3 linked regions of the Caenorhabditis elegans genome follow. The protein of the gene in region 3 purifies or fractionates together with the protein of the main gene of each other region. This does not show direct contact. Each region holds a gene or a part of one and is shown on either strand. Other genes may lie near its edges. The genes, in order: npp-13, emb-4 and hrde-1.

What was found.
Region 1: the proteins of hrde-1 (region 3) and npp-13 purify together in Caenorhabditis elegans (affinity purification with mass spectrometry, with the first as the bait; one study listed by BioGRID). This does not show direct contact.
Region 2: the proteins of hrde-1 (region 3) and emb-4 purify together in Caenorhabditis elegans (affinity purification with western blotting; 2 studies listed by BioGRID, with this or other methods). This does not show direct contact.

Annotation. Positions count from the first base shown.
Region 1 is NC_003279.8:2,095,195-2,098,947, reverse strand, and holds the start of npp-13 (Nuclear pore protein), read right to left. Parts: upstream 1,603-3,753; 5' UTR 1,602-1,602; coding exon 1,503-1,601; intron 1,449-1,502; coding exon 1,209-1,448; intron 359-1,208; coding exon 242-358; intron 1-241.
Region 2 is NC_003283.11:18,893,332-18,897,084, forward strand, and holds the start of emb-4 (Intron-binding protein aquarius), read right to left. Parts: upstream 1,644-3,753; 5' UTR 1,638-1,643; coding exon 1,569-1,637; intron 1,500-1,568; coding exon 1,165-1,499; intron 427-1,164; coding exon 119-426; intron 1-118. Other genes in the region: nhr-243 (Nuclear Hormone Receptor family), read right to left, coding at 1,986-2,084, 2,147-2,417, 3,234-3,433.
Region 3 is NC_003281.10:4,174,008-4,177,760, forward strand, and holds the start of hrde-1 (Argonaute protein hrde-1), read right to left. Parts: upstream 2,153-3,753; 5' UTR 2,147-2,152; coding exon 2,038-2,146; intron 1,987-2,037; coding exon 1,776-1,986; intron 1,731-1,775; coding exon 777-1,730; intron 728-776; coding exon 203-727; intron 156-202; coding exon 1-155. Other genes in the region: C16C10.13 (Rab3 GTPase-activating protein catalytic subunit), read left to right, coding at 2,776-2,892, 2,937-3,206, 3,251-3,559; utp-11 (putative U3 small nucleolar RNA-associated protein 11), read right to left, coding at 3,659-3,753. UniProt on the Caenorhabditis elegans protein: Argonaute protein which is involved in the endogenous small interfering RNA (endo-siRNA) pathway and is required for RNA-mediated gene silencing (RNAi) in the germline.

The sequences.
Region 1 (3,753 bases), on a different chromosome or scaffold from region 3:
ATTTTACGACTTTGAAATCAAAAAACTGACGGTTCTGATACATTTTAAAGAAAGCCTTCTGTAAAACCGTCAGTTTTTGGTCAAATTTCATAATTTTAAACATTTTCAATTCGGAAAAATGCTTCTCAACAACATTATAAATCAAAAAAATAGAAAATAATATCTATAGAAGTGCGCGCGAAACGAATTCCCTCGAATTCTGGAGTTCGTGAGGTGTGCCGCGCAAGGGATTTTAACGAACATCTCGTTCCATAGCCTGTGCTGGATTCATGGGAACTGCGGCAGGTCTCGAAAGAAGCATGTGGTTGAAGAATGCTCGATCCGTCTCCACTTTAACACGAGAAATGTCCTCGTCGAGCTGGAAAATTTAAAGATTAAAACGTTGTTTTCATGATAAATTATTAATTAATCACGGCCACCTGGAGTGTTCATAATTATTAGAGCGCGCTCGCGCGGCACCTCACGAACTCCAGAATTCGCGGGAACACGTTCCGCGGGAACAGCAGTTTTTTTTATTTTTGACTTCTATAGGAAATATCTTTGATTTTTTGTTTTATAATATTCTTGAGAAGCATCATCCGAATTGAAAATGTGTAAAATTATAAAATTTGGCCGAAAACTGAAAGTTTTACAGAAGGAAGCCACTACAGTTTTTAAAAAAATGTATCAGGACCAGTTTTGCGATTTATGTGTCGTAAAATATGTCATTTTGTAGAGAATTAAAAGTTTCATAAGAATTTTTGTTTGAAAATTTAAAATTGTTTTTATTGAAAACTTAAAAATTGAAGAAATAAGATTTTAACGTAAAATTGTTGATTTTTTGAATATTTTTTTATTAGAAATTAACGAATTAAAATTTCAAACGAAAATTTTTATGAAACTTTTAATTCTCTACAAAATGACATATTTTACGACGCATAAATCGCAAAACTGGCGATCCTGATACATTTTTTCAAAAACTATAGTGGCTTTCTTCTGTAAAACTTCCAGTTTTCGGCCAATTTCATAATTTTACACATTTTCAATTCGGATGATGTTTCTCAAGAATATTATAAAACAAAAAATCAAAAATATTTCCTATAGAAGCCAAAAATAACAAAAAACTGCTGTTCCCGCGGAACGAACTCCCGCAAATTCTGGAGTTCGTGAGGTGCCACGCGAGCTCGCTCCAATAATTATGAACACTCAAGGAGGCCGTGATTAAGTACTTCTTCCTCGTCAATATCATCCATTACAGCTTCAGGCACGTCCACGACACCTTCATCAGTGAGAGTATCCTCGGCGGTGTGACTTTTCGGCTGGCGGCTCGGAAGTTCGATGCCACGCTCCCCAAACATCATCTGCTTCTGAACTGAGTGCGTCTGACGTGTCCAGTCGCCTTCTGAACCGCCTAAAATACCGCAAAGCTCCTGCTCGACGCCATTTCGGACTGTGAATTGCTGCGAGTTCTGGAAAAAGGGAATTTTTCGGTGTTTTTAACATTTTAAACATTATTTACAAACCTCTTGGCCGACACGGTTGGTTTGGAAAATCGGATTAGCAAGCAATTGTGCGAATCCTTGATGATCAACTCTTCCGAGGATCTCCGTAAACTGTAGCATCCTGAATTGAATTAAAAATTGAGAAAATTACTGGTTTAGGTTTTTTCAAGGATTTACAACATTAACCAGTTTACATTAACCACATTTTCCAGTTTAAACCCTGAAAAATATGAAAATAATCGAAAAATATCGTTAAAAAACGTTTTAAAAACCAAATAATTCTCGTTTTTCGCGGCAAAACGAAAATTAATTTTGAAAAAATCGGTGCAACGACACTCCGAAATCCCGCATGAATCCTAGGCCAGTATTTCGAGTTCTAGGCCACCAGCTTCTTGGCACATTGCCAAGAGCTGAATTTAAATTAATTTCCGCTGGAATTGAATCGAATTCAGTACAAATTGAGTGGGAAAATGAAAAACTTACAAAAAAATTGAAAAAAAAAACATTTTCGATGAAAATGTTTCAAGAAAATTGAGTATTATTTTTAAAGAAAAACGAAAAAAAAGACATAAATTCGGGAGCGTGTCGTAGCATCCACATTATCGACTTTTCCGGTTAGAAGTACACCGCCAGATGGTAGATCGGTCTCAGGAACTCATGGAGCAGATAATAAATCACAAATTGGATGATTTGAACACTAAAAAACATTAAATTTCTTTTAAAAAAATGAATTATTTAGTGACAGTTGTGTCGAGAGCTTTTTTAATCAGTAAATGTTTTACTGGTCTATGGAAAATAATTATAAGTAAAAATTACTGGAACACAGAATTCAGAGAGCCCGTATTGCGCAACATATTTGGCGCGCAAAATATCTCGCAGCGAAAACTACAGTAATTCTTTAAATTCTTTAAATTACTGTAGTTTTCGCTACGAGATATTAATAATTTTGCGCGTCAAATTTGTTGCGCAATACGCATTCTCTGAATTTTGTGTTCCCGTGATAATTCAACAATTTTTCAGTGTAAAACAAATCAGGGATTTCTTTTGAAAGTTTCGGGTTTTTTTTCCACCACGCGGGGTACTGTGGCACCGGTTTCAGCTGTGTCAATGGGGAAATGTGTGAAATTGAAGCATTCCCAGGCATGATGGGGGTCATTTTACAGCTGAAAATCGAGAAATTCGAATTTAACGACAATTTAAAGAACATTTTTGAAATGAAAAAATTTCCAAAAAAATTGTTTTTTTTTCCCCAATTTCACTTTTTTCTCTAAATTACTCTAAAATTCACATTCTCCTCATTCTCAGCTTCAAAATGACTCCCATCTTGCCCATTTTCTGCCAAATTTCAAATTTTCGGGTCCCACCACGCAGGGTACTGTAGCACCGGTTTCAGATGTGTCAGTAACCTAAATAGAGGGTTCTTAGGCATGATGGGGACTCATAATTTGAAATGGAAGAGTTTTTGCCGAACTAGGCCATTTTGGTTCGGCCATATCTGGAGTAGATTTACGGCGCGTCGCGGCTCGGTTTTAGTTGTAAAACTAAATGTATTTGTCCGCGTGGAGTACACGACTTTCCCAGTCCGGCGGGCGATTGTCAATGGAGCGCGAAAAATTCAACGAGGAAGGCCAGAACCCCGTGTAATTTTACATTAAATTTCGCTTTTGTTGATTAGAAAAACAAGAAAATATATTCATAATTTTCTCTAAAAACAAAAAAAACCAATTTTTATAAAAATTTCGTAAAAACGGGACACTTAATTAGAGTACTACGGGGTTATTGCCTTCCTCATTGAATTTTTCGCGCTCCATTGACAATCGCCTGCCGGACTGGGAAAGTCGTGTACTCCACACGGACAAATACATTTAGTTTTACAACTAAAATCGAGCCGCGACGCGACACGCAACGCGCCGTAAATCTACCCCAGATATGGCCGAGCCAAAACGGCCTAGTTCGGCAAAAACTCTTCCATTTCAAGGGAAGCCAGAAATCAGTGTGTAATGTGAATACACCAAATTCGACGCGCAAAGTTTGAAAATTCACAAAATCCTCACCAAAGTGCCAATTAATATCCAATTACCACCACACCCACATCAATCTCAATATACCCCTTTTCCTTCAGATAACCATCTATATGGTTCTCCTCCCCTCTTCCAAAATGCTCCAAATTCTGTGTGCTCAGACTCCGCCCCCCCCAGTAGTGCTCAAGTGCATCTCCCCTCCCTTTTCTTTTGGTTGTTGGAGTCCGAAGGCCTATTGTGTATGAGTATCC
Region 2 (3,753 bases), on a different chromosome or scaffold from region 3:
GGATAAAAAACTAATATTTTCTTTAATTTTTCGCATTTCTCTTCAAAAAAACGGAATTTCCGGCGTTTTTCACCGATTTTCTCCGTTTTTTCCGGAAAATTTAGCATTTTCCACGTACCCTGAGCCTCATTTGGCTCCAAACTGTTCAAAACTCGTTTAAATTTCTCGATTAAATTCCACAAATAAGTCCGTTCGAACTCGTTGTTGTCCGCCGCCGCCGCCGTCATTTTCTGCCGCACATTTTCCCAAATTTTCTTCAATTTCTTCTGTTTTTTGAACAAATCTTCGCGTTGTGAGTCCAAAAGACCGGCCCAAATCTCAATTGAGACGAGTTTTCGTGTCTCTTTGTGCACAATTGGTGTCTCAACGGAGCCAAATGCGTTGACAAGGAATGTCAGAAGAGCACAGTGTTCTGAGGAGGCGAGTCTGCAAAATTTCGAAGGATTTTTTGGTGAAAATTGGGGAGAAATTTAGTGGAAAATCGCATTTTTCGCGTTTAAATAGTGGTGATTTTCAGTGGTTTTTTGCTTTTTTCGCGAAAAAAAACAAGAAAATTGCTCGAAATTAGGTGCAAAATGAGCGAAAATGCCGAAAAATTGCTATGAAATTCGCAAAATGCAGCTAAAAATGAGCAAAAAGCGATGAAATTGGTTTTTTGGGCGCTGCTAAGACTACAAACTACAAGTTTTGGGCGCTGCTAATTCAATTTTGGGCGCTGCTTAGACTACAAACTACAAGATTTTGGGCGCTGCTAATTCAATTTTGGGCGCTGCTAGACTACAAACTACAAGTTTTGGGCGCTGCTAACGACATTTTGGGCGCTGCTAGACTACAAACTACAAGTTTTGGGCGCTGCTAAGACTACAAACTACAAGTTTCGGGCGCTGCTTAGACTACAAACTACAAGTTTTGGGCGCTGCTAGACTACAAACTACAAGTTTTGGGCCCTGCTAATTCAATTTTGGGCGCTGCTTAGACTACAAACTACAAGTTTTGGGCGCTGCTAAGACTACAAACTACAAGTTTTGGGCGCTGCTAATTCAATTTTGGGCGCCGCTTAGACTACAAACTACAAGATTTGGGCGCTGCTAATTCAATTTTCGAGCTAATTTCGAGTTTTCTGAGCTTTTTCGCCATTTTTCCGCTAAAATCTCGAATAATCACCCTTCTTCCTGCAACGAAAGCTGCAAAATGCTCTTAAAAAAGTGCGGAAAGTGCTCGGATTTCTTCGTGAAACAGTTCCACGAATCCAAATTTCGTTCTCGAAATTTCTCATTAATCATCACAACAATCGACATATTCCAGGCCTTTGAGGCTTTTTCTGGAACGTAATTCGGCCATAAATAGGCCTCCAAGTACTGCGAAAACTCGAGCATCATGATTTTTCGCGAATTAAACGAGGTTTTCAGCATTTCATTGTCGTAAATTGTGTCGATGAGCTTTGCGTCGAAATTTTCGTGAGTTTCTGCTGTGAATGGAGCCCAGAACTTGGCGGCGACCTGAAAAATTGGGAAATTTTAGGAGGAAATTTGATTTTTGTAAGTTTTCTAAGGTTTTTTTGCACCCACCGCTGAAATTGTGTCATTTTCGATGGCTCCCCGAGTCACCACGGCTTCTTGATGACGTTTAGTCACCATTTACACCTGAAAAACAGTTTTTGCCGAAAATCGCAAGATTTTAGCGATGAAACTGGTGAATTTGGGAGAAAATATCAAGAAATATTAAATTTTCGAGTTTTTTAATGCAAAATTCACTAAAAAACCTCGAAAATTCATTGAAAAACAACGGAAAATCAGAAAAAATAACTGAAAATAAAAATAAATTTCGAAAAATCCGGAAGCGCGCCTTGGACTTTTGCTGGCGCACTTTGCGTGCTTGGCGCATTTCTCGATTTTTTTAATTTATTTTTTGTCATTTTTCATCGAAAAACCTGCAAAAACCTCAAAAAATCACGATTTAAAGTTAATTTATTCAATAAAAATCAATTATAAATCCTCAAAATACTCATAATGAGAAAATCGCATCGTGTGAACGTCGAAAACCTTGGCCAATTGGAGTTTTGAGCGGATTTGGAGCACTTCTTCCTGCAAAAATGTGTTAAATTTTATTAATTTATCAATATTTAGAGTGAAAAAGCTAAGAAAACCTTAATTTTCCGGATAATTCTCAAAATCTGCGCCAGGCGAACTGAATATCTCGGCGTTTCCTTCACATTAACATAGTAATCATGCAGATTATTCGCCAATTTTTCCATAATTTTCTCGCAATTTTCTTGAATTTCGCCTCGAAATCGGCGTCCCGCGTGTCCGAGCACCAAATGAGCCAGCATATAGGACAGCTCCACGTCATCTGGGTTCAAATTCATCATTTCTTGGGCAAATTTGTAGGTTATGTGGTTTTCTGACGTGTCGTAGAAGCTGAAAATTGGTGAAATTCTGCTGAAAATGCGCTGGGCGCTGCTAAGACTACAAACTACAAGTTTTGGGCGCTGCTAATTCAATTTTGGGCGCTGCTTAGACTACAAACTACAAATTTTGGGCGCTGCTAATTCAATTTTGGGCGCTGCTTAGACTACAAACTACAAGTTTTGGGCGCTGCTAATTCAATTTTGGGCGCTGCTTAGACTACAAACTACAAGTTTTTGGGCGTTGCTAATTCAATTTTGGGCGCTGCTTAGACTACAAACTACAAGTTTTGGGCGCTGCTAATTCAATTTTGGGCGCTGCTTAGACTACAAACTACAAATTTTTGGGCGTTGCTAATTCAATTTTGGGCGCTGCTTAGACTACAAACTACAAGTTTTGGGCGCTGCTAATTCAATTTTGGGCGCTGCTTAGACTACAAACTACAAATTTTTGGAATTTTGAAGCAATTCCAATAGAGTTTTTAATGGAAAAAATGCCAGAAAACTGAGAAAATTAATAATTTTCGCGGAAATTTTCGCGGAAAAGAAAATCGAATTGGAGATGGTTTTGACTACAAACTACAGCATTTTGGCGCTGTTTAAGCCTAAAATGCACACTTTCGCAGGATTTTGTCACAAAAATTTCGAGTTTTCGGGTGATTCTGAGGGGGTTTTAAGCGTATTTCCGAAATTTTCCGCTACAAAAACTACTATTTGGTTTGATCTACGAGAATTGCGGGGTGTTTAGAGATAGAGTTTGCTGACGTCATATTTTTCTGGGAGTGAAAATTTTTCCCGCATTTTTTGTTGATCAACCCTAAGTACTTACAATTGCATTTGCTGATTGGTTAATCGTGAGCACCACGTCAAATCCAACTCCATATTCTTCATATCCATCATTGAATACTCATTTTTATGCGAAAACATTACACAATCACCGCAGCACATCTTCATCCGTCGCCCCATCGCTGTAATTGCCAACTTATCCAGACGAGACCATACATGCCACGTGGCGGCAAGGATTTTTAGCTGGAAATTTTCGGGATTTCAGGTGGTTAAAACTATAAAAAGTGGTGGAAATTCTAATAGAAATAGAACATGTTTTAAGAGCTAAAATCTCGAAAATTTCGCCAATTCACTGCAACTTTTTCCTCACGAGGGACGAGGAAAAGTGGTTTCTAGGCCATGGCCGAGGGGCCGACAAGTTTCAGCGGCCATTTATCTTGCTTTGTTTTCCGCCTGTTTTCTTTCGTTTTTCATCGATTTTTTTCGTTTTTTCTTAATAAAACTGATAAATAAATATTTTTTGCAGATGCTAAAACAATTTCCAAGTAAAAAAATTATGTATT
Region 3 (3,753 bases):
GAATGTCCACTCTATCATCGAGCCATTTCTTCATCAGATTTTGGATAGCAACGGAATCACTGGAGTTCAATTCACGGATGGACCAATCTCGCGAGTCCTTTTCGACCGTGATTCCATTGTCACGACAGAAATTGGACAGCTTGTCGCAGAAATCTCTGAAAATAGAATATTATAAAGCAGAAGAAAACAACGTTCGACTTACTCGGCCTGTCTCATTTGGATACAGTTGTCAAAGACAACAATACCAATTTTTCTGATCCGTGCTGGTTCGACAAACTTGTCCTGTGTGCGGAACGCTGGACGGCTCATGTCAGGCATGTAAGTCTGGCCCTTGAACTTGATTTGAGCTGGTGGGAGGAGCTTCGCAGTCATTTGGATTGGCTCAGTCGACATCAGTTTGATTCCGAAAGCATCCATGTACTTATTTTGTTCAAGCTTCAAGTTGTCGCGGAGAATATCTTGAACCAACTTCACATGATGCTGTGGCATAGACGCATTTCTTCCTGTCATCGCCGATTGTACTGTCGGGCTCATCTTGTTGACCTTGATCCGCTGGCCTGGAGCAATTCGAAGCAACTCCATTGGGAAGAAAGATTCATGTTTGAATCTTTTTGAGACGACGAGAGGAAGTCTCGGATATTTCAGCTTGATGTTGTACTGCAACAGGAAATATTCCGCCACGGTGACCTCGCGTTCTCCCTTGTCGTCCTTCATCATGAACGAAGTGCTACAAAACAAATTGTTATCACGCTGATGATAACTATCGAATAACTTACTTCTCAGCATTGTTCTCGGCAATCGAGGATACGCGAATAAGGTTACCCTTCAAGTGAGTGCATTCCACGTCCAATCCTTTGAGTGCTTCTTCAATGCATCGCTTCGTGTTTCCTCTTTCGCCAAAAGCGTGTTCCAACTCAGCAGCATCACTCGGAGAGTAGTCCGCTCCATTTGAAGAACCACTGTCTCGACGGGAATCGTACATGTCGCGACGTCCTCTGCTTTCATCTCGGTACCTGTCGTTGCCACCTCGGTTTCCATAGACACCACGAAAGTCTCTCGAGTCGGAACGGCCGCCACGGTATCCACCACGAGAGTCTCGCGAGTCACTTCTTCCGTATCCGCCTCTTCCACCGCCTCCACCTTTCATTTCGGATAACTTGTTGCTTGAAAACTTGATAACTGATGTATCCTTGTAAAATGGAGAAATCTTCGTATCAACCGTCATGAAAGCTTTGCCACCTCCGTTTTGCGATAGACGAGATACTTTCGCAAAACCTGAGCGGATCTCCGAAATAGCATCAGGTTCCGAGTGTGGCGGAGAAAGACGTGGGAATGTGGCATTACCAAATTGTAAGTAATCCTCATTGTTGAGCTTTTGTGAAGTGACGATTTCGATAATACGAGTCAACTCCATACGATTAGCCTCCTCCTGGGCAACTTCTCCTTGGGTGTACACAAATCCGGCAGGTTTGAGAACAACAAGGTAAGAATCGTCCTTTCTGCGAGACAACTTCGACACGAATTTCCATTCTTCCTTCGGGAAGTCATCGATCGTCAACGTGACTTCTTCTTGATCGTCACCAGTGTAGACTCCCTCCGGAAGATAGAGAGTCGCAGCGCAGTCGTAAGCAAGGAAGTGGTGACTCTTTCCACTGAACTTCACCAGAAGCTTGTCATGTACTGTTCTCATGATGTAGTATTGTGCCAAGCGACGGTTATGGGAATTGACACTGGAAAGTACTGATTTTGAGCGGTTATACAAATTAAATACTTACTCTCCCTTGGCCGCCAAAACTCCAAGGTTGGCATTGATCTGTTTTCCGTTGCTGGAACAGACGATGACGTCAACTTGAAAGCGTTGGATCTTGTGGGGCATATCCTTGATGTCCACTGGAAACATGTTCATCTGAACATTCATCGTGTCCATCGTTGCGAAAGAGTCCCGTCCAATTGGTGTTGTTGACTTCGGAGTAGAGAACATTGGTGCTGAAAAAGACAATTTTGAACTCCTAGGCATAATGTTGATTCTAAACGAACCACTTCTCTTTGACGTCGGTTCGTCCTTGTCCTGATTCATTCGGTTGTCTCGTTTGGGAATCCTGTTGGAAGACGAACTTCCCATAATTTTGTCGAGCAAGTCGGCCATGTTTGACTGAAATAAGAAACGATGAAACGAAAAAACGATGCGAATTTCAGATGTAATTGAGATAAAACAGTGAAATTTACTAAGAAAAAGTAAATGAAACAAAAGCTTTACCGTCCTGATTGAGATTTTCAAGTAAAATGAGAAAAAACGCAAGGAGAGAAATGAAATGAAAATAAATAAATTTTAGGCCAGAAAATTCGAGAAAACACATCCGTGGCGGTACAAAAGTTCAAATCGTGGCGCCACATGCGTTGTAACAATAGAGCGCGCTTGCATTGTGATCTCTTCGAAAAATTTCACGTCTAGAAATCGAATTTTATTAGTTTTCAAAAACTTAACGACTATTCTGAACATTTCAAATAAAATAATAGAAAACAATATTTTTAAAAAATTAATTTGTTATGCTTCAATAAATATTAATTATTTAATTCATTTCTACAATCAAAACGATGCTGGTTTTTCAAGTTTTCTGCTTTTTCGTCTCTTTTCTGGCAAATTCAATAAAATGCGACATAATTCATCTCAAACATATGCCTAAAATTCTGAAGGAAAAGGCGTTGCTCGAAAAGCCGATAATTCCAAACAGGCTGCTCCAGCCATTCCTTAATGAATCAATTGCTCATATTTTGATGAATCCGTTAGCTGAAGTGAAGACGAATGCGACGGAAATTAAGTTTCTAAATTATCTAGAAGATAAAAAGAAATATGAACCCGATTGGACAATTCGAGAACTTGAAGATAAAATTGTGAGCTTAATAAGTCATTTTTCAAGTCTAGAAAAGAGTTTCAGAGCCTATCAGAACTGGTCAAGACTTGTCTAGAACACCACTCGTTTCTAGATCTTCCAGATTTATTTCCTCGTTTTCTGTGTGGTTTGTTAGCAGTGTATAGGGAACAGAACACGACAAGTCTTCCATATACTGGATCAATATTTTCTCGATCATCAAATGCAGTAAAATTTCTAAATGATCCAGAGAATTATCCATGTCATTCTATGAATATGACTGATGTGGTGGCACTGGTGCCAGGAAGAATATACAGTGGATGTGTCAAGGATACGGTATCCTTTTCAACAAAATTCTGAAAATCCAGTTATCTGTTTAGGACCCTGAAAAATTCAGTCAATTCGATTCCGTCTTCATCATGTCTCATCCATTCCCAGATGTTCAAAAGTGTCAACAACCTGTGTCAGTGATGCCAAAATGCGAACTGCGATCGATGCTAGTGCAACACAAGATATTGTATCAGCAAAAAGATTGTTGCTGCGATTCCAACATGTGTGCCGTGCTCATCTTCACTCAGACCTCTTCACTGACTCCGCTTGTTTTAAAGACGATTGATTTGACGAGAGAGACGATGGTCCCGTTTCCAGTGACAACGACAGAGATCTCTTTAAATTCAATGTTTCAATAAAGTCAACAATTTCAATAACGCATAAAATGTAAACTCAACAGCAAAAATTAACAAAAAAGAAGATTCAGAATAAAATGGGATTAAAAAAAAAGAAATTAACTACTTCTTTCGTTCATAGGTCCATTTGTAGACGGCTGCTCGCATAGCTTTCGCCTTTTTGACCTTTTGAGGCTTCAATTCTGATTTGCTTCCAG